3 linked regions of the Elephas maximus indicus genome follow. The protein of the gene in region 2 interacts with the protein of the main gene of each other region in a biochemical or structural test. Links are inferred from orthologs where the notes say so. Each region holds a gene or a part of one and is shown on either strand. Other genes may lie near its edges. The genes, in order: PKNOX1, PBX1 and HOXB1.

Evidence for each region.
Region 1: the proteins of PBX1 (region 2) and PKNOX1 form a complex in vitro, tested with the Homo sapiens proteins (2 studies listed by BioGRID). The link is inferred for Elephas maximus indicus from reciprocal best matches to the Homo sapiens genes PBX1 and PKNOX1.
Region 3: the proteins of PBX1 (region 2) and HOXB1 are reported together in a solved structure, tested with the Homo sapiens proteins (2 studies listed by BioGRID and IntAct, with this or other methods). The link is inferred for Elephas maximus indicus from reciprocal best matches to the Homo sapiens genes PBX1 and HOXB1.

Annotation. Positions count from the first base shown.
Region 1 is NC_064820.1:226,908,355-226,916,366, reverse strand, and holds the start of PKNOX1 (homeobox protein PKNOX1), read right to left. Parts: upstream 3,033-8,012; 5' UTR 2,975-3,032; exon of another isoform or gene 2,520-2,974; intron 2,288-2,519; exon of another isoform or gene 2,147-2,287; intron 1-2,146. UniProt on the Homo sapiens protein: Activates transcription in the presence of PBX1A and HOXA1.
Region 2 is NC_064821.1:204,550,355-204,558,216, reverse strand, and holds the start of PBX1 (pre-B-cell leukemia transcription factor 1), read right to left. Parts: upstream 3,046-7,862; 5' UTR 2,860-3,045; exon of another isoform or gene 2,661-2,859; 5' UTR 2,561-2,660; coding exon 2,370-2,560; intron 1-2,369. UniProt on the Homo sapiens protein: Transcription factor which binds the DNA sequence 5'-TGATTGAT-3' as part of a heterodimer with HOX proteins such as HOXA1, HOXA5, HOXB7 and HOXB8. Binds to the DNA sequence 5'-TGATTGAC-3' in complex with a nuclear factor which is not a class I HOX protein.
Region 3 is NC_064837.1:44,987,813-44,994,393, reverse strand, and holds HOXB1 (homeobox protein Hox-B1), read right to left. Parts: upstream 1,881-6,581; coding exon 1,304-1,880; intron 848-1,303; coding exon 519-847; downstream 1-518. UniProt on the Homo sapiens protein: Sequence-specific transcription factor which is part of a developmental regulatory system that provides cells with specific positional identities on the anterior-posterior axis. Acts on the anterior body structures.

The sequences.
Region 1 (8,012 bases), on a different chromosome or scaffold from region 2:
GGAAGCCTCAGTCCATTGCTATGCTAAAACAGCACTGTGTGGGTTAAAAGTGTGAGCACTTTGAGTGGCATATCAAAAGGTACATTTTAGATTCAATGAAACATTGTAACTAGATGATCCAGGTACCATTCTCCATGCTAATTAGATGTGCTGCTACAAGCTGGCAGCCAGAGGAGTAAATTAGGGGAAAGGAAAACAATGAAAGGCAAGGTTGAGTAGTCTGTCAGCTGTCTTCCAAACCAATGTACCTACAACTCGAGAATATCACCAATAACTATTCTGCCAAAGAGTTTTACATTTCACCTCAATGCTTCCCTGTAATACTTAGTGAAGTCCACTTTTCCAACATACCAGGGAAAACTATGAAATGATGCTTAAGATGCGTTGTTGTTTTTCCCACACTAAAGTGGAATGTATCTACTTCCTAAGGAAAGTCAATTTTACATAAAGCCAATTCTTACTATCTAAAAAACTAAATTATCACGCCCTTAAGAAAAAAAAAAAAAAAAGTTGCCATCCAATTGATTTTGACTCACAGGGACCCTATGGGACAGAGAAGAGCCGCCCCATAGGGTCTCCCAGGCTGTAATCTTTGCAGAAGCAGACTGCCACATCTTTCTCCCGCAGAGCGGATGGTGGGTTCCGGTAGGTTTGAACCTCCAATCTTTCAGTTAGCAGCCTAGCGCTTAACCACTGCACAACCAGAGTTCCTCTTCACGCCCTAACATGTCCAATATAGCCTGGATTGTTGCAAGTCCACCATCAAATGTATCGAATGTCCACTTGTTTATGTACAAGCTGGTGCGCGCACACACAGCCCCCAAGTATCTGTAACTTCTGCCCTCATCGCTTCTATCAATAAATTCTAAGTCGTATTTTATGAGTCAACCATGACAAATGAAGGGCCTAACGGGTCAAGTCTCAGAGCCACTGTCAAAATAGGGCATTTCCAGAGCCACTAGGAGGAAAGAAAGCAGACTTGATTTTTCTTAAGTGACTCATTTTCTCTAAAGGAATGTGAAAATCCTGCGAGCGGCCAGACCACGCCAAAGACTTCCAGCCATCTATTTCAAAATTGCCATTTAGTATAAACAATACACTTTTAACTAATTCCCTACAAACGGGAACCCCAGCCCTCCGCAAACAGCCCAGGCGCAGGCCGTCTGAACGCCGCGCCGGCCCCTCGGAAGTGGGCGCTCGGGTCCCCCGGTCACCCTGGGGTCGCCCCTTCACCAGCTGCGCGGTCGCGGGGCGCGGAAGCACGGGTCCCGCGGCGGGGCCGGCGTGTGGGACCCCGGGTCGGCAGGGCTCGGCCTGCGCCCCGCGAGCCCGGAGCAGCTCCACGAGGCCAGGGCGCCTCCGAGCGCCGCGCGGCTGGGGACGCCCCCTCAGCGCGGCCCGACCCCGCCTCAAGCCGGGCCTGCGCGCAGCCGCCATTTTCCCGCCTCCCGGACCGCGCGAGCCCCGCCGCCGGCAGCCCCGGAGACCCGCCGCCTGGTGCACCTGTCCCCCCGCGACCGCGACAGAAACCGGGGACCTCGCAGCCCGTTTCCGCCCGCGGCCGGCGCGCGCCCCCGCGGCCGGCGCGCGCCCCCGCGGCCCTAGCCCCCCCACTCTTCCGGTGCGCGCGCCCCCGCGGCCTCAAGCCCCGCCCCGCCCAGCGCGCGCCTCCGGTTCCCAGCCCCGCCCCTCCCGGCCCGCGCGCGCCCGCGGCCCGCTCCCCTCCCCCCACTGCCGCCCCCGCCCCGCGCAGGGGCGCGCGCCGCGCTCCGAAAAGGACGGTTAAGAGCGCGCGCCTCGCAGCGGGCCCAGCGAGGCGGCGGCGGCGCCTTCCAGAAATTTCCTTCTGCCTAAACCGACACTCAAAAACAAACTCGGCGCGACCCCGCGTCAGCTCCGGACGGACAGCGCCCCCGCCCCGGCAGCCGCCAGCTCCCCTCCCCCACCCGCTGCCCGCGCGCCCCCCTCCCGCCCCCTGCCCGGGGTGGCGGGTCAAGGGTGGGCTCCCCTCGGCACCGCCGGCCCGCCGCTACCCGGGCGGCGGCGCTGGGGTGGCGGCTGCGGCGGCTCGGCCCGCGTGATTGATAGGGATGGCGGCGGCGGAGAGCTGCGGCGGCGGCGGCGGAGCGGTTGAGTGACAGCTTACCTGGGTGCCAATCTTCATCACACTGACAAGCGGCTGCAGCAATCGGGACCCGCAGTGCCGCGCCCGCGTCCAACCGTCACGCCGACGCTGGGCCACGCGACACAGCCTCGCTCAATGGGAGGAGGGCGACGCCGACGCGCGCCACATCAATATTCAGCGCGGGGGCGGAGCCTGCCGGCCACGGGCCCCGCCCCGCGGCCTGCGAGGCGGGGGCTGGGGGCGGGGCCCGGCGCGGGGGTGGGCCAGCTGCCGGCTCCGCCCCGCCTCGCGCCCAGCCCGGCTACGCCCCCAGCTGGCCGCGCCCGGGCGCGAGGAGCGGCCCGCCCCGCAGGCAGGGATTCCTGGCCTTATGACTATGCAGCGATAGGCGTGGCCTCGGGCGCGCGCCACGCCCCCGCCGCGCCGTCCCTGCCACTGGAAGAGGCTCTGGGATCGCAGCTCCGGGCTGGGCGAGACCATGTTCCGCGGTCAGGCAGGGAGGCCCGGGCTGTACTATCCGAGGATGCAGCCGCCGACCCCCTCGGCCTGCAGGCACCGGGCCCGCCCAGGGTGCGCGGCTCCCCCTTTGTCTGCGGGGCGCCCCTCTACCGAGCTAGGATGAAACTGCGGAGCGCACTTGCGCGCGCCCCGCTTCGCCCCAAACCCGTGGCAGCAGGCTGTGCTCGGCGTCTGGGGTCGCTGTCGATGGGACCTGCGGCATGGGTGGCCCCCATCGACCCTCGGCAGAGGGCTTCCTTCCGGCCACGAGACTGGCGGCGTGGGCTGGGTGAAAACTGCAGGCACGCCCCCGGGTCCGCCGGGTCTCCAGTCCACATGGTGTCAGCGTACCTTTCCGCCCAGGAGACCCCAGCAGGCCCTTGTGTCAAGGTAACATCGGAGCTCCGCTGGCAGAGGACGCCTGTACTGTCAGGGGCCAGCCTCCCAGCATAGCCTGTTTACAAGGTACCGACCATTCCCACGGGCCGCAGCACTCCAGGAACCTAAGGAAAGGGCAGCTCCTTCCGCAGTGCGAATGCACATTGTTTGTCTGACTGTGAACGTTTTCTAGAACGGCCCACCCAGGACGAACCTCGATATTAAGTCCACACACAGCGGTAAAGAAGGGCAGCTCAGCTTGCACCCACCTCCTCCAGGGCCCAGAATGGGGAACTTGCTGGAGGATGACTGAGGTGGACCAGGCATGAACAGCAGGGATAAGATTCTTAATATGGCTGCATGGGTCCACAGACACCATGAAACCACATGCAGAATGCATTTTTCAGGGACAAAGTGTAGCAGAGCAGGGGCCAGGGTGAGTGAGGCAGGTGGAATACGCAGAGAGGCCCCCCGAAAACTCAGTAGTCAAGACTGGCGGCATAACTGTCAAGGTGCAGCGTAAAATGGAAATTCAAGGTCCCTTGTTCAGAAAATTAGTATGAATTCCAAGATGGCAACAGCAGAGCATTACATAAGCAAGGGGCCTTGTGCTGTGAGCCCAGCCTTGCCATCACCTGCCTCACCCTCGTCAGTAGCTTTTATTTGGTTCCCATCAAGCCTTTAAGGCAGTGGGGGCTTCAGAACCGCAGGACCTGGGTGTCTTCAGTCACCCAGAACCCAGTACAAACTATTGCTGGAAAGCCCAGGGGCCAGCTGAGGCCCAGGCCCAGTCCACCCCACCGTCTGGCCTCAGAGCTCTCTGGTATGTCCAGCAGGAGCCTTCTCTGGCTGCTGCGTCTTTTCTTTTCTCCCCATCATCTCCTGCAGATGTGGCCCCAGAGATGGTGGGGGAGGTGGCATGCTAGGTGAGAGCCGGCAGGAACACTGGTGAGCACTTTGAGGGAAACCACAGGAATGTGCCAGCCTTACTGACTGCCCAACCCTGCCTCAGGCTGGTAAGGACATAAAAGAGAGGTAAGACTCGGGCCCTGTGCAGAGCTGAAAATCCAGTGCAAGCGCCATCCGCGACCCCAGCAAGGCCCAGTACCCCCATGTGCTGCATCACAAGGTTGATGGCCTAGCAGAGTTCCAGGAATAAGGGCATGGCTTGTCCTTAACAGATGCTTAGGATCTGGAGAGGCTTAAAAACAACCACAAAAAACAAACGCATTGCCATAGAGTCGATTCCAGCTCATGGTGACCCTGTGTGTTACAGAGTAGAACTGCCCCGTAGGGTTTTCTTGGCTGTAATCTTTCCAGAAGCAGATCACCAGCCCTTTCTTCCACAGTGGCACTGGGTGGGTTTGAACCGCCAACCTTGAAGTTAGCAGTTGAGGGAAAACCATTTGCCCCACCTGGGGACCTTTTGGAGAGGCTTAGGGAAGAAAAATGAATGAGAAAGCCTCTTAAAAATAAGGGCTAGGTTTCTGCTTATCAAGATGGCCAGTTTGGCTGATGCTTAAACTGCTTCAGTTCGCCTGGGTCAGTTGGGGGGCACCAGCAATTAGTAGGGCATGATCCTTTTAAAAATGTCTTAGACTATCCCACTCCTCTCAACAACCCTCCTCCCCCCCAGGCAGAGCTCCCATCTCTTCACCATTAACCCATTGCCGTCGAGTTGATTCCGACTCATAGCGACCCTGTAGAGTAGAGCTGCCCCACAGAGTTTCCAAGGAGCACCTGGTGGATTTGAACTGCAGACCTTTTGGTTAGCAGCAGTAGCTCTTAACTACAATGCCACCAAGGTTTCCAGAGTCTTCACAGGAACCCCCAAACCCTATGTGATCTTTCCCTGCCACCATGCCTGTCTGACCTCAGTGCCCACACTACCTTCCTCATTCACCGGCTCGCATCAAATCAGTCCCCCTGCTGCTCCTTGATCACACCAGACCTGCTTTGCCTCAGGACCTTGGCACTGCATGTTCCCTCTGCCTGAAGCACTCTTCCCAGACATATCCACATGGTTCTCTCTCTCACCTCCCTGAAGCCTTTGCTTCAATATCAGTTTCTCAGGTTTAAAATTTAAGTCCCCAGTATAAATCCTATCTCCCTGTCTTAGTCATCTAGTGCTGCCATAACAGAAATATCACAGATGGATGGCTTTCACAAACAGAAATTTATTCTCTCACAGTTTAGGAGGTTAGTAGTCTGAATTTGGGGGCGGGGGAGGGCTGGCTTTAGGGCAAGGCTTTCTGTCAGTGCTTGGGGAAGTCCCTTGTCTATTTTGAGATTCTCTTTCACTCTCCATTTCTTGATTGCTTGTTTAATCTCTTTTATATCTCCAAAGAGATTGATTTAAGACACGCCCTACACTAATACTTCCTCATTAACATAACAAAGAAAGTCCATTCCTAAATGGGATTATAACCACTACAAAAACCAAACCAAACCCGTGTGGTCAAGTGGATTCTGACTCATAGCAACGCTATAGAACAAAGTAGGACCACTACAGGGTTTAGGGTTCACAGCACAAATGCGGGGCGGGGGGAGGGGGGAATGACACAATTCAATCCGTAATATTCCCTCAGCCTGCTTTCTTCTCCATGGGGTTTGTACAGGTACTTCTGACATACTGTGTAATTATTACATGTATTCGTTTTCTCGGGCTGCCTTAGCAAGTACCACAAACTGGGTGGCTTGTAGGAATGGAAATTTATTATCTCAGTTCTGAAGCCTTGAAGTCCAAGTCACCGTGTCTGCCATGTTGTTTCCTCAGAGGCTCTGAGCAAGAATCTATTCCGTACCTCTCTCCCAACTTCTGTTAAACCCATTGCCGTCGAATGGATTCTGAGTCATAATGACCCTATAGGATAGCCCCATAGGGGTTCCACAGGGCACCTGGTAGATTTGAACTGCTGACCTTTTGGTTAGCAACTGTAGCTCTTAGCTACTATACCACCAAAAAAAAAAACCCAAACCTATTGCCATTGAGCTGATTCAGACTCATAGCGACCCTATAGGACAGAGTAGTACTGCCCCATAGAGTTTCCAAGGAGTGCCTGGTGGATTCAAACTGCCAACCTTTAGGTTAGCAGCCAAGCTCCTAACCACTGTACCACAGGGTTTCCACTATCCCACCAGGGTTTCCTAACTTCTGTTAGCTCCAGGCACTCCTTGGCTTATAGATGCAGCACTCCAAATGTCTGCCTCCGTCTTCACATGGCCATCCTTCTTGTGTCTTTCTTTCTGTCTCTACTATTCTTTTATAAGGGCATCACTCATAGAGGATTAGGACCCACCTTACTCCAGTATGACTTCATGTTAACCTAACTGATCACATCTTCGAAGACCCTATTTCCAAATAGGGTCACATTCATAGGTACTGGAGATCAGGACTTCAGCATATCTTCTTGGGGGATACAATTCAATCTATAACGCTGTATAACTAACTTATTTGTTCCGTCTGTTGTCCGAAACAGCACACACACGCAGGCAGGCACGCATAAACACTAGACTTTACTCATCACATGAGTAGGAATTTTACTGTCATTCACTGATGAACATGTGGCAAATGTTTTATTGAACTCATTCTTTACATGGGAAAACTGGTAAGATGTTAGAGCCAGTTCGAAGGAAAATGCAAAGAACAAGAGTACTGGAACTAACTTGCAAATTGTGCAAAACTAGCTAGTGGAGGGTGTGGGGAAGGTTGTCCTTACCCTGTGCAGAATCCATTTACATGTCCATAGAAAAAAATCATTTGCATTGTCATTGTTATTGTTAGCTGCCCCCAGGTAGACCACTTACTCATGGTGACCCCATGCACAGCAGGATTGGACCATTGTGCCCCACACGGTTTTCACTGACTGATTTTTGGAGGCAGATCAGCAGGTCTTTCTTCCTAGTCCATTTTAGTCTGGAAGCTCCTCTGAAACTGGTTGAGCATCATAGCAACACACAAGCCTCCACTAACAGATGGGCGGTGGCTGCACTTAGTTTTTATTATGGATTGGATTGTGTCCCCCCAAAATAAGTGTCAACTTGGCTAGTCCGTGATTCCCAGTATTGTGTGATTGTCTACCGTTTTGTCGTCTGATGTGATTTTCCTACCTGTTGTAAATCCTACAACTATGATGTTAATGAGGTGGGATTAGCGGGCAGTTATGTTAATGAGGCAGGACCCAATCTACATGATTAGGTTGTGTCTTAAGTCAATCTCTTTTGAGATATTAAAGAGAGGAGTGAGCAGAGAGACAGGGAGACCTCATACCACCAAGAAAGCAGCTCTGGGAGCAGAATGCATCTTTTGGACCTGGAGTTTCTGCATGGATAAGCTCCTAGACCAAGGGAAGATTGATGACGAGGACCTTCCTCCAGAGCCGACAGAGAGAGAAAGCCTTGCTCTGGAGCTGGTATCCTGAATTTGGACTTCTAGCCTCCTAAACTCTAAGAGAATAAATTTCTCTTTGGTAAAGCCATCCACTTGTGGTATTTCTGTTATAGCAGCACTAGATGATTAAGATGACTAAGGCAGTTCTCTACAATTCATAGATTGTACAATAGCTCAAAGTTAATGAAAAGTTCGAATCAGATAACCTAAAAGGGCAAGTTCTCAAGAATGTATAGTTTCCCATTGGAGATGCTCAGTATTCCTTTTTGCTTGTCCTAAATTTCCTTACACTGTGAAATCTGGGTTTAGTTGTTGAGAAAATCCTAACCTAGAAACACAGCTGGCTGGAGGAATTGTCAGGGGAATCATAGGGCCTGAGCTCTGGTCCAGTCAAATGGCCCGGATCCTGTGGTTCAAGAATTCTCATTGTGCTCCTTACTCACCCACAGGTGAGGATGGTCCTCAGTCCACTGGGGAGCTGTGCTTCATGACTGGTCACCATGTTCCACCCATGTCCACCCACACCAAGGGATGGTCCTCAGTCCACTGGGGAGCTGTGCTTCATGACTGGTTGCCACATTCCACCCATGTCCACCCACTCCAAGGAATGGTCCTCAGTCC
Region 2 (7,862 bases):
GAATCATTTCGCAGAAGAAGATCGTTTTGGAAACAAAATACTGATGATATCAGCCATTAGTTAAGGCAATTCTATTCACTAAAATTAATGTGCGGGGATAAATAGAAAACCCTGGCATTTTAAACACAAGCAATTCTTTTTTAATTCCTTTGAAAGTTAAAAAATAGACACCTATGCTCATGAAGAACAGAAACCAGAAGCAGGCAAAGGAGTAACAAGCTCAAAATTCAAGACACTGTAGAAATGAACATATACATTGTATCTAAAATATTAATGGTTTCCTTAGTAAATTCAGAAGATGTGACTGGGAAAAGTAGAAAAGGACACAGTATTGGCTAAGTAGTTACATCATTGTTTAAGCCAAAAGAAAGCTGGGTGGTCATTTGGTCAGTTCTCAATGTGGGGCGACAGAAAGAGGGGAAAAGACTTCTTGAATGTACTAAGGACCTCTTTTTGGATCTTCAAAAATAGTTTTTATTAACTGTATTCTTATACACAGTCCCAAGTGCAAACAAAAATTTCCGTATGGCTTTATAGAAATATTACATTTCCACAGCACACAAACAGGGTTAGAGAGGAAAAAGGGAAAATTTTCTCATTCCAAAATTGTGTTCCATCTCTTTCAGCACCGAGGCCATGAAAAGGGGGAATCCACCAAGCCAGAGTTGGCCTCGATTTCACAAAAAGGAGTGGGACTAAACATCAGAAAAGTGGTGGCTATCCATTCCCCCTGGCCCTTTGCCACTCCACAAACTTATTATTAAACCAGTTTACTGGTGTGTCTGAGTGTATTTTTCTAGAACAATGTAATGGAGAAATCTGTTCCAATTCAAAAGAGAATTGGCAGTGGGAAATCTTCTACTTAGCATACCTATTAGCTTTTCCTCAAACAATAAAAATCAAAAAGAACACCTATTACATTTTGAAAACTTTTCCCCATTTTTTAAAAAATTTAGAACAGGTCAAATCTTTGAACATTTCCAAGTTTTCAAGTACCCGTAAACCTCAGTACTTTTGAGTTTACATGTTGCATGTGCTTGCCGCTAAAATAAGACTAATTCATAGCATCCAGGCTTTTAGCTGCTCCTTCTCATTTTCTCAATTCAAATTCCTCTTTCCCTTAGACACAAATACATATAATGATATCTTCTCCACATAAATAAGTCATTTGAGGTATAGGAATTGTGTATATACGTTTGAAAGATTTAAAAGGAACATTTCTGAGATTTAACAAAGCAGATAATTATGGAGACATATATGATCATTAGATTTTTAAAATTCTTTCTTTCCAGACCAGCCTTCAGCAGGCTGTTATTAGGTTGCTATTTAGCCTCTGTGTTATTTTCAAAGGGAATTTACTGTAAAGTCCTAGAATAGAGAACTGCAGATCAGGCGGTTAGATTAAGTTGAGAAGCTACACAGCTTCTTTATTATCCTTCTTTAATGAAGGTCTTCAGGGCCTATAGCACTGAAATACATAAAATTCACACATGCTTTCATTTCTATGTAGTTGCCGTCTAAGTGGTCCTGAAGGAAGCATGGGGTAAGGAGCATGCTTGATTTTTGTCCCCCACCCCTTTTTAAAGGACCATACCTAAACTGTCTGTCACCGAAGGTTAGTAAACCAACTCAAATTAAGAGATAATAAAGTTTAACTAAACATCCGAGTCTTCTGAAACTAACAAATATGTCGAAAAGCAAAATTATCTTTTCTTTCTTTCTTTCTAAGTGAATGCAAAATACCCTCTGGATAGCTGACAACTACTGACAAAGAAATGTCCTGTTGTGTTGTGTTTTGCTTTCGAGGGGGGAGACAGAAGGGAAAAAGAATAAAAATTAATTTTGGAGTGATAAGTCAAGAAAGAAAACCAAAAGTCGCTGAATTAAGGCAGGGAGTCAACTAAATCTGCAAATAAAGTGTTCTTGGGACATTTTATTGTGTAAGGGGACTGAGTCCCTCAGCAAGAACGCACGGAACGCGGTTCAAAACTTGACAATTCTGCTCTCTCTGATACTTTTTTAAGGCAGTAAAAAAAGTGCCGAGGGCCGCTTTCGGATCAGCTGGCAACATTTTCGTCGTTGCTGAGTGTTAGTGTGGATATATATGAGTATGTCTATATTCACTCTCTCTCACACTCACACACACGAGATATATATACGTGCACAGCCACATCACGGCATGGGCGATTACACTTTCGATAACAACGCTCCTTTAAATTTTACTCCTCCGCCATGTAGTTGCTCGCCAAAATGGGAAAACAAATAACATTTTAAAAGAAAGCGCTGTGGTGACTCGGTTCCCATTGTTTCCCCCTGCGAGACGGAGAAAAACAAACCCCAAGAAAGGAAAAGAAAAGCCTCCATCTCACCTGGCCTGCGCCTCATCCAAACTCTGGTCTGTGATGGTCATAATTTGCTGTAAAATGTCTCCAATGTCCTGCTTCCTCCCGCCCTCCCCCTCGGTCCCTCCGGCCCCATCCTGCAAGTGCTGGGACAGGCCGGGGTGTCCGGCCATCCCGACCCCAGCATGGGAATGCATCAGCCTGGGCTGCTCGTCCATCTCCAAAGGCAACGGCAGCCCCCGGCTCTTCCTCTTCTGCTCCTCGGCTCGGCTCCTGGGAAGCACCAAGGCTTTTTATCCTTCAAGCTGTCTTCAAATCCTTTTCAGGATAAACAGGGAAGGGGGAAAAAAGAAGACCAAAAGAAAAGAAAAAAAAAATCCCTTTGCCTCTTTAGAGGATGGTGGGAGGATGGGGAGTGGGGAGGGGGAGGGGGGCGTGAAGGGGTTGCGGGGTGAGGGTGGGGATAAGGGCTGGTGGGGAAGGGTGTTGACTCCAAAAAGCAAGAAAAATAAACCACCTTCCCACTTGGCGAAAAGAAATCAGAGCTGGCTTTTGGTTTTTCAGTCCGGTCTCCTTTGCAAGGCAGAAATGGGCTCCCGTCGCTTAAATCTGTGGCTTAATCCTTTTGCAAATATGCATTGATCGGGAGAAAGGAGAGCAAGGCAGGGGGATTGCAATGCAAACTTTCCCCCCCGCCCCCCGCTGCCCCCCACCCCCACTCCGGGCCAGAGTGATCTCAAAGGGGGTGGGCTGTTGCCAAAGCCAGATCTCCCCCAGCCGCGGCGGCAGGCAAAGCACAGGCTCTCTTCTCCTCCGTGTCTCTGCAAACTCCAGCAGTCCCGTCAGCCTCCTGCTTTTGTTTAGCTCAGGCTCAGGACTCCAGAAACATATACAGAAAAACCACAGCCTGAGAGGAGGAGGAGGAGGAGGAGGAGGAGGAGGACGAGAAGGAGGAGAAGGGAGGGGGCAGAGAAAAGGGGGAGGGGGCGGGGAAGCCAGGGGGCGGGGGAGAGAAGGAGGGAGGAGGGCGCCCGGGGCCCCGCCCCCTGCTCTGATTGGTCATCAGAGAAAAGACGGGCCCCTCCTCCCCCTACTTTCCTCGCCGCACCTCCTCTCCAGCCTCCTTCAGCTCCTCCTCGCCCGGCGCCCTGTCAATCAGAGTTCAGAGGTGGGCCGGGAAGGAGGCTGAGCTAATACCAAGTCTCCAGTCCTTAAAGGTGCCATGGTGCCATCGTTCCAGCTCCATTTGTCAGTTCCCACTCTTCTCTCCTGCCTCTCTCCGTTTCTGTCCTTGAGGAGAACGTGCCTCCGCTTAAGTGCAGATGTATAAATAACATGAACACGGAAGAACACAGTCCGATCAGGGGTTGTCCGCGTTTTTCTTTGGCTGTAACATGGCCATTTAAAACTCGAGTCTTTCAAATTCTTAGAACTCAGGGAAATTGTTGAAAGCAAAAGTTTGTCAGCACGAAGTAGTTATGAAAACGAATGGAACTGATAATATAATTAATAGTGATTTCTAACGAACAGCAGATATAATAGATTAAAAAACAACTGTCGCAGTGAAGTTAAAAGGAATACTGAACTGTGACATTTTCGTTGCATGAAAACTAATTATGGACTATGGAACTAAATAATGCTGAAGAAAAGGAGATTAAGAAATAAGTTCAGAAATGAAACTAATTCAACATTTCTCTCCCGCCTGGGGGAAATTAGTTATTTGGCTTAAATACTTCATAAGGAAATGCATTATCACAGTCTGGTTTTAGTTTTTAATATAGTTTAATAAGCATTATTAACTGAGAGAAGAAGGGAACTGACATTTATTGAATGCCTACTATGCACCGAGTAATTTACATGCATTATCTTATTTAATCCCCAACACATTTTTTCTGTGACTTATGGCTTAGTATTTCCATTCTACATAGAGGAAACCCAGAAAGGTCGAATAAAATAACTTGTCCAAGTTTCTAGAGTTACTGAATTCGTGGTTCTCTCCAAAAGCATGGTGTTTCCACTATCAAACCTGCCTCGGTCTAATGGAAGTGTGAATAGTGTAAATATTAGTTCTATGTATTGCCCCTCTTGTTGGAGAAGAGACGTAAGATGCTTCCAAAACTGAAAAACCAAGCCAGTTGCTATAGATTCCGACTCCTGGCGACCCCTTGTGCTGCGGGTTAGAACTGCACTGGCCGCTGAAGCGCATTTTCGTGCGTTTGAACCACCTGCCTCTCTGTTAGTAGAGGAGTGCTTAACCGCCTCCGCCTTCCAAGAACTCGGAGGATACTTATTTAAACAGGATGACTCAAACTAAAAATGGGTGGGAAAGAATAAAGAATAAAATGGAATCAGGAAAACAGGTAATAAACTCGTAGCTAAAGTCCTATACAGTAGCTCTAGGTGGACCACAGATTTTCTTCCAATTTTTTTATTAGCAAAGCAGGCCAGATGGGGAATCCGACTGGGTACGCAGTCATAATGTCCATGAGATAAAATACAGCGGACCAGTTAAGCAGGAAAAGCCCAGCAAATTTTGGAATAGAGAATACTCTAGTGTGTTGCCAGCCCTCTTCCTGGATAGCAGCATAGCAAAAGGAAATGCATTGAGCCGCTGCAAACCTCAGTGATCCCAATCTGCAAAATGGAGGGCAGTCTTGCCAGGCGCTTTCCAGTTCCCAAGTAAAATGTTATTGTTTTCGTCAATCCAGCCTCCTTCCCAATCTTTAGGCAAAACAAGTTTGGCAAGATAAGCAGCACTTAAGAAAGCATTTTGAAGCAATTCTTAACAAGCTACTTGGCAGTTCTTCCTATGAGGGCATGCAATAGTGAGCATTAATTGTAATTACAATGTCCTATTACTTAATAACAACTGTTCTATTCACGTGCATACCCCAACTTGTAACTTGTTTGTTTTATCAACACTGATCAAAAGTTGAGCTCTAAACTATATCCTCCAATTACGTATCACAGCTTGAGTTAGGATATCCCTTGGAGCAATGGAAGTTATCACATCTTAAAGCACGAAACAAAATCAGCCCAGGGCCTATAAGAAATCCCTTTGTGAGCAAGTAATTCTAACTGTGAGCCTAACAAAAGCTCAAAAGATAAAGCATTAGAAAAGGTACCATCAATACAAAGTCATATAGGAACATTTTTGTAGGCAAATAAGAAGTACACACAACAATAACACCAATAATAAACATTTATTGAGTACTTACTATGGTTAGGAAACCCTGGTGGCATAGTAGTTAAGTGCTATGGCTGCTAACCAAGAGGTCAGCAGTTCAAATCCGCCAGGCGCTCCCTGGAAACTCTACGGGGCAGTTCTACTGTGTCCTATAAGGTCCCTATGAGTCCAAATCGACTCGACGGCAGTGGGTTTGGTTTTGGTTTTTGGTACTATGGTTAAGTATAATGTTATTATGTTCAAGGCTCTTTACTAACTTAAGCTGTGCGTTTAATCGGAAACACTGGTGGCATAGTGGCTAAGTGCTACAGCTTCTAACCAAAGGGTTGGCAGTTCGAATCTGCCAGCCCTCCGTGAATAATCTGTGGGGCGATCCTACTCTGTCCTGTACAGTCACTATGAGTCGGAGTTCACTCGAGGGCACTGGGTTTGGTTTTTGGTTTGGTGCGTTTAACCAAATAAGTTTCAATATATATAATAAATGCTATAGAAGTGACACCACCGTCTGGAAACCCTAGAAAGGATTAGAGAAGGGAGCAACTCCGCTCAGGTGATAAGAGGTGGGCTTTGAGGTAGATCTGAACGATGAGTTGGCTCTGGCAGGCAGGGTTAACCGATGTGACAGAAACAGATTCTTTTGGGCTGCAATGGTTATGATATTAGAAAGGTCTTATCGCAAGAACCTTGAACAGCAGAGTCTGTGCCTTATTTGGTGGGACACTGGAGAGCCACTGAGATTGTTTGTTTATCTTATTTCAGGGAGAATTATCTGGTTGCCCAATACCAAATGGTTTGGGAAGGGAAGGTGAAATAGGATGGCAAATTAAGATGGTGGCAGTGTAAATGGAAAAGAGAGCACATTATGCGGATCATTTTCAAGGCAGAACCAGAAAACACAGCAATTGATTTTATGTGGATGGAAAGAATAAAGAGTTTTTAAGCTTGGCTGAGAAGAATGTGGCAGCATTAACAGAATAATAATTGTAGTTACAGGTACAATTTGTTGAGTGCTGATTGGGTGTCAGGCATTCTATGTACATTAGCACTTAATTTTAACAACTTCCCTGTGAGTTTATAATCTCCCATTTTGCAGACGAAGAAACCAAGGCTCCTAGTAGTTGAATTACTTGACAAACTGTGGACGTAAAAATGTTCCTATTTTTAATACATTACACAGAATTAAGGAAATCAAGGGAAGAAACTACCACGGGTGAAACAGAATGAAAACTAGGACCTTCTATTTACATGAAGAAACTCATGAAAGTAAGGTCTGAGGAGAAACTTACACATGCAGTTTCCATATGTGACGGGTCGTGACAAGGGATGGATAATGCACCTTCCACATCTCAGCAGTGCCTTCTTTGTAGTAGATGTTTAACAAATACATGCTAAAAGAATGAATGGTGCCATATTCCTGCTGCAGTTCTTCAGACTAATAACTGAAGGCCACTGAGTCAGGCTTTAAAGACATGCGTCACTATCAAAACTTGACCAACTAGCAAAGCAGTTCTCAATCTGACATTATTCTACTATGCCTACAAAGTCATCAAACTGGGTTTACCTCTATGTCGAGTGTCTGGTTTACTCTGAGGATTCTTTTCCAAACATCGTTAAAAGCCCACTAGGTCATGTATTCATCTTCATTAAGGGACAAAGAGGAGGAATGCAAGGGGAATGAACAAGGATCCTACTCCTTTCCTCTATTGGTTGCCAACAGATGGGTCTCCCAACATGCTCACAGAAATAAATTCACTACCACACAGTCTTAGATCATCTAACCAGGCGTTCTTCTGTGTATCTTTATAATTGTATTTTAATTGGCCTCCAGGTTTCTGTAACTTCTGTACTTAAATGTGGGAAAAGAAAGTCTCCTCTGCCAGACCCAGGCCTAGGAACCAAAGACAGTACCTGAGACAGTGGATGGCATCTACTCTGCCCAAGGATCCTTGTCTTTCTCTTTCAGCTTTTCTCTTGCCCTTTTCACCTTGCTTTTTTTCCACTTTTCCACTCTCTCTTCCTTTTCTTCTGTCCTACCTTCTCTGTCCTGCTCACAGAGATCTGCCCTCCCCCCCCCACCACTTCCCGTTCCTCTTTCCTTGCCTCATTAGGCAGACCTTCATTGTGTCCCCAAAAAGATATGTTGAAGTCCTAACCCCTGGTACCTGTGAATGTGACTTTGATGGGAAACAAGATCTTTGATGAGGTTACCAATGAAATTAACATGAGGTCACACTGGAGTCGAGCAGGCCCTAATCCGATTTGAGTGGTGTCCTTGTAAGAGAGGAGAAAAGGCACCGAGAGACAAGGAAGATGGTCATGTCACAACAGAGGCA
Region 3 (6,581 bases), on a different chromosome or scaffold from region 2:
TGAGAGATTAAGCACTGGTAATAATCTACCTGTACCCAAACACCTCCTCTCCCCAAAGAAAATTCAGAGCTTTCCCGCTGTCCCAAGGGGAGGTTAGTAGGATAGGAGTTCGCTGCAAAAGTCCTCAAAGCTCAAAGGCACTGAACTGAATAAACGGAAGTTAGAAAGGAAAGGAGAATCCACAAGGATGTGGACTCCACTCCCATCTCCCACCCCCACCCACGTGATGACCAAGAGCTGATCTCCAGATCAAAGGCAGAGGCCCTTCTCTCCACCTTTGACAGGGTCGGGGTCTCTCCTGCCTCTAGTCTTGTAGGGTCCCTAGCCATCAGCTCCCGGCCCAGAACAGAGAACAGTTACACCCCTCCCCACAAGGGCAGCTCTAAACTGGCGCCCCTAGCCTTGAGGAGAATTGATGGGTCGGTGAAGCCGAGGTCTGGAGTTGGGGAGAGCCAAAGAGAAGGGCTGGACTGGGGTGCTTGAGTGCCAGGAGGCCCCGTTGGGTTAGAAGTTTTAGTTCAGGAGGTGACGGAGCTGGGTGAGGCTTCTGGGGAGGTGCATGCCGACTGGTCCGAGGCGTCTCCAGCCACCTCTTTGAGGCAGCCTGGTGGGGCTGAGGGCGCCCGGCCTCCCTCCCTCTCTCGCTTCTTCTGCTTCATGCGGCGGTTCTGGAACCAAATCTTGACCTGCGTCTCGTTGAGCTCTAGGGTGGCGGCGATTTCTACCCTCCGGGCCCGGCTCAAGTACTTGTTGAAGTGGAACTCCTTCTCCAGCTCGGTTAGCTGCCGCGTAGTGAAGTTAGTGCGGAGGCCGCCGGGTGCTCCCAGGCCCAACTCCGACACCTTTGCTAGGGACGGGGCGGGGAGAAGGGCCACGTCATTTTTCTCACCTCTATCTCCTTCCCCTCCCCTTCTCCCGGGCCAGCTCTGCACCTCCATTCATCACTCTGTCCAAATCCAGCTTTCAAAGTTCTCAGGGATCACCAGGCAACCAACCTCCCCCAATCTCCAAATCTAGAGCAACTAACCCCACACTTCCATCCCCCACCCCCATCCCAGATGCACCAGGTCCTGGGCTTGTGCGGGGCTCACAGATCAGGAAGTGTAGACTTACTCTTGGGGGTGACCCGGCACTCACTAAGTGGAGGGAACCCCACCTGACCTAAGATGCTCCATAATGCTCTTACCTGCCTCTAGCTGGGAGGTACAGAGGGAAGTGCCCAGCCCTGGCCCAGGACACTTCAGTGCAGGGGCAGTGAAGCGGCTTTGGGCCCCTGGGAGGGACGGCCACACCCGAGCCCTACCTGTCTTGGGTGGATTCCTCTTGACCTTCATCCAGTCGAAGGTCCGGGCCGTGGGGGTGCTGGGTTCTGATGCGCAGGGCCGCTGCTTGTCCTCGGAGAGGACATCAGCATAGGCCGGAGCAAAGCTCGCAGTCTGCTCGTTCCCGTAAGGGGGCTGCGGCGGAGGGTAAGGCCCTAGGCCAGCTTCCCCGGCTCCGTAGCCGTCGGACAAGCCCCCCAGCTGGGCCCCGTAGCTTGAGGGGTGAAAGTAGCCTCCATCTCCTTCAGGATGGCTCAAAGGGTAGTACTGAGAAGGCCCATAGCTGGGACTGCAGGCGGCTGGGGCGTATCCCGAGGGCGCGGAGCTGGCGAAGGGCACCCCCAGCGCTGAAGGCGGCTGTTGCGTCGGGTAGCCAGGGTTCTGCTGGAGCACTGGGTTGGGCAGCCCCCCGCCATAGCGGGCCTCGCCTGCGTAGTTGTCAACGGCCGGAGCCGAACAAGGGGGAAAGGAGGTAGGGGCGTTGTGGGCGCTGTAGGCGCTGGGTCCCCGGTTACAGAGTGGGTACTCTAAGTAGGAGTTCATTCTATTATAGTCCATGCGTCGAGGCCGCAGGAGGGTCGGCCCGTTTGGGGGAGATACCCTCTTGCCCTACAACCTTTCCGCAGTATGTCACAGAGCCGAGGCTTGCATCCATGGCCCGGCCCAGCTCGCCTGGGCCAGCGATCCTCTAGGAAGGTGGGGGGGGGGGGCGCATGTGATCTCTCCCAGGCCAATGGGCGCAGTGGGCCAGAGTTTGGCAGCCCCAGCGCCCATCCATCACCCCCCAAGCATTAGCATGACAAAGACACTTCAATCACCCGCAGCCCATCCATCTGAGAGCGACATGGAAGCGTCAAAAACATCTTTCTTCAAAGACTTTTGGAAAGAAGGGACCAGAGGGAGAGGGGGGAAAAGTTAGAAGAATATTCAAGACTTTCCTCTCCTCCCAACCCCCAAAGCCTTCAAGAGGCTCCTGGGTTATTAGATTTGGACAAATTCAATCCAGCTGGCCCCCACTCTTCCCAGCTTCCAAATGAGCCTTCTCCCCAAGGCTGTAAACCTGGAAGTAGGGAATCCAGCCTTCTTTACTTTGCCCAGAACTCTCATTCTGTGCTTCTTTCTACCAATTTGTCTTGGGGTGATGTGCTAGGACTGCTGGGTGAAGTATGTTATCTTGGGCCAAATGGATGACTGTGTGGGTGGGGGGAGGGCAAAGGCGCCTAAGGGTGTGAGGCAGAGTCTAGAATCTAGATGAAGAATTCATTAAGTATGGGTGGGAAGCTGACATTTTAGCGAGCAAGGCAGGACTATGAGGAGGATGAGAAACATCCCATTCCTCTCTCCATCTCTCCACATAAACACTCTCTTCTCATTCATACATCCATTTCTCTCCCTCAGCCTCTCTTTATATTCTCTCTGTCTCAATCTATCTCTCCATTCGTCCATCTCTCTCCATGTTTATATTCGTTCCCTACCTATCCATCAACTCATCTCTCTAGATATATTTATCCTCTCTCTAGCCATCCATAGCTGTAGCTGGCTCACTCACTCAGACTTAAATAACTCCCTATATCTCTCTAGAGAGCTACAATGAGCACAGAGCTAGGTGTTTTTCAGGGGGAGGAAGCAGAGGGAGATTTTTATTCTATTTCTGAAGTGTTTAAAACTAGTGTAGACCCTGGATTCTTCTGGCTCCATCCTATTCCTCTCTCCAGCACTACCTCTATTTCCTTCCAAAAAAAAAAAACCCAAACCTCAAATCCATAAACTCCATGCCAGTTAAGTCTTAAAAGATTATTCTTATTTTCAGTTAATTTTCTAGAATTGATAAGGAGAGTTTGCTCAGCAAATTGGAAAAATTAGTGTGGAAGTCCTGAGACTCTGAATTCTAAGGTTCAAGAGTGGGGTCTCAGTCACCCCTTTCTGCTCTGTATGTCTGTTGGGCTAAGTTTTGGGGTCAGGGGAACAGGAAGTACCTCCTTCACTCTTTCAGACCCTGGATGGAACTAGACTAGAAGCCCATTGATTCTCCTCCTACAGATGCCTCAGACAAGAGCTTGGTGCAATCCAACACCCACACTCATTTGTAACCTGTCAGGGTGTCTGCGTGGCCAGAGGCCTGGGGCCGGGGCTAGGGCAAGTCCAGGAGGGCAAGAGTTCAGGGAGTGATCTCTGTAAACAATTGAGCTCAGGAGAGGAAGGGGAAGCAGGTGGGACAGGTCCAGAGAGAACCCTCAAAACTTCTCAGGTTTCACCATCCTAAAAAAGGCAGGGTGAATACTTATCTCTCTGCAAGGGACCCCAAAATTATCTCTTTGTCTTTGTGTCTCTCCATCTTTCTGTCTCTCATTCTCCCTCATTTTTGCCTGTCCTTCTCTATAGTTGCCTCTCCCGTTTCCTGTCTTTATCACACTGCCTTTCCCTTCTCTAGTAACTGTGAGCCCTGCTTAGCTCCCAATTATGAAAGACCTCAAAGCATTTCACAAGACCCCTGCCCCCTCCCCCTTCTCACCCATCCTTTGCTTCAGACTCTGCTGCAGACCCAGACAAGACGGGGGTGGAAGAACCAGCTGGTAACTTCTTTAAGAGAGAGATGCAATGGGGGAGGGTGAGAGAATGTTCACTGCCAAAGGGAAGAGGGTAGACAAAGGAAAGGAGAATTGAGATGGGAGGGAGAGGTGGTCTGCAGAAGGATTGAAGAGAAAAGGAATATTGAGCTTAGAAAAGTATATTTCTTTCTATTACTCCTTTTTGAGTTTATAGATGCTCCCAGCTTCTTAATCTTACTTTAAGATGTCCTCCATACAGGCTGAGACCTTTGGGGATATTAAAGAGAGGCTAGAGATTTTTTTTTAGAGATTAAGTGGGTAGAGTATTAGTGTTTCTCTTCTAACCCCAAACCTGAGCTAGGCCTATATCTGATCTGGCTGCCCTGCTTCTGAGAGACTTTAGATTTCGTCACTTTCCACAATTCCCTCAGTCCAGGCAGCACCTACTCCACCTCATCCCTTGCCCTCCAAATAAAGGGATCAATGTGAGACCCAAAGGAGGTAAATTCCAAATCACTTTAATAAAACAGCATAAATCTATCTAAGACTTGGGGAAATTCAGTCCCCCTAATAACAGAAATAGTCAAGAAAAGGGTGGGGCAAAAGTTCCTCAAGTCATACTGCCAATTGTAGTGACTGCTTTGGCCTCAGTTCTCTAAATTTGCCATGCTCTACAATTCATCCTTGAGTCTTGCCACCTTCCCTTCTGTAGCAGATATATTAGAACTTTCTAGAGTTCCTACTGGCTCTCTCAGCCCCAGCAGAAAGGACTGGGAGGAATCAAGCAACGTGCTTTCCTAGATACCTGAGTTTCTTCCTCCTTAAAAGAAGCTTCTCTGGCCTCTGGCCTGGAGAGTCTATGGAGCCTGTATTTCTTGCTAAATTCATGACTGAGTGCAAAAAAAAAAAAAAAGATGAAGCAATCCACATCTGGAGTAACCTATAAGCTACAGGATTTTCTGGTTAAACAAACTAAATTCATCAGGGAGATGAAAGTGAAATAAAATTGATTTCCTGGTTTGTATGATCTGCTTTGATGTGTAGAGGAGCTAGCTGAACATCGACATGTTTAGAACTGAAATTATCTTTGAGGGTTGCTGGTCCTTACCACACGGAGAATACAAGTAAGGGAACTCTTTTTAACCAGAGTTGGGTATATTAGAAGTTATACCTCAGATTCTGGCTCTCTCTGTAGAAGCTGCCTCAGCTAGGAGTTGGCAGGAGCAATATGAATCTTTCATTAGGCCTTTAAGTGTCTCTGCCTTACTGATCTCAATCCATATCTCTGGGATACATTTGAAGGCCAAGCCCAAGAGCAAACGTTGACGCTTAAGAGCTAAAAAGATATTCAGGGTTACAAATTTTCTCTATAAGAGGATGGATTCTTATTGTTGTTGGGGATGGGGGGTGTGTGAGTTCAGTGGTGTTTCATTTAATGCAAGTTAATTGAACTATCATTAATCTAATAAAGAACCTTAGACTGTGGGTGGTACACATTGTAATGAGAAGAGTACTAGGTTTCAGGCCAGAATACTTGGGTTCAAGTCCTTGTTTGGCCATTTCTTAGCCCTATGACTCTGGACAAGTTTCCTGGCTTCTCTGAGTCTCAGCCTCCTCTTCTATAAAATTGGTGTAATACTACTTACTTCACCACATTACTAACAACAACAACAACAAAAAAAAACCCTTTGCCATCAAGTTGATTCCAACTCGTAGCGACCCTATAGGACAGAGTAGAACTGCCCCATAGAGTTTCTAAGGAGCGCCTGGTGGATTTGAACTGCTGAGCTTTTGGTCAGGAACTGTAGAACTTAACCACAACACCACCAGGGTTTCCACACTACATTACTAGTAGAATTAAAACAAATAAAAAATATAAACCACAGAGGACTTAATGAATGTATGGTAACATTACATGCACATTCTGAAACAGTATGAGTCAGTCTTCTGTTTTTTAAAAAATATAACTAACATATTAAAATACGGAAACATGTAGTAGATGAATAGCATATGTGCTATATTTTCATGTAACATATCACTATATATTTTACAATATGTACTTTATCAAATGCAAATTTAATTGTGAATTGAGAAAGTTGACTGTTTTGACAAAGGGTTTTCTTCTATGCTAAAGAGTATTTTGAAAACTGAAGCCTAGTATTTTATATCTATAAAAGAACCTAAACTATTTCAAATTGCAGCTGAAAGTTTTGAGATTACATATTAGAAACAACCTGGTTTTTTCCAAATATTTGGGGAACGTTTTCTAGGGAAGATGTTGTCTCTCCTTCTTTGAAGACTTTTGCTTAGCAACCGTCCTTCCCAGGGGTAGGGATTGAACTTAACTTCTGTGATCCAGATAGATCAACAGGATGTAAATTTTTATCTGGAGTAAAAGATAAGTCAGAGAATTGGACCACTTTTTAAAAGGAAAGATTAGAGTGGCACAAATAATTGAAATAATTTTCTACTTAATTGGGCTTATCCAAATGGGATAGTTTGTGGCCAAAATACCCACTTTAGAAACCTTATTGAACACTGATCCACCTGAATTTGAAGCAGAATGACTTGTCCAAACTGTGATTTTTCTGTTTCTTTGGGAGTATGAGGAGGTTTTAATGGGGCTTCTTTGCTTTTCACTCTCTCCTCTGAGAAGGAAGCAGTTTGTTGGGTTTCTTTCAGGCACAAAATATCTATCTGCCTCACTACT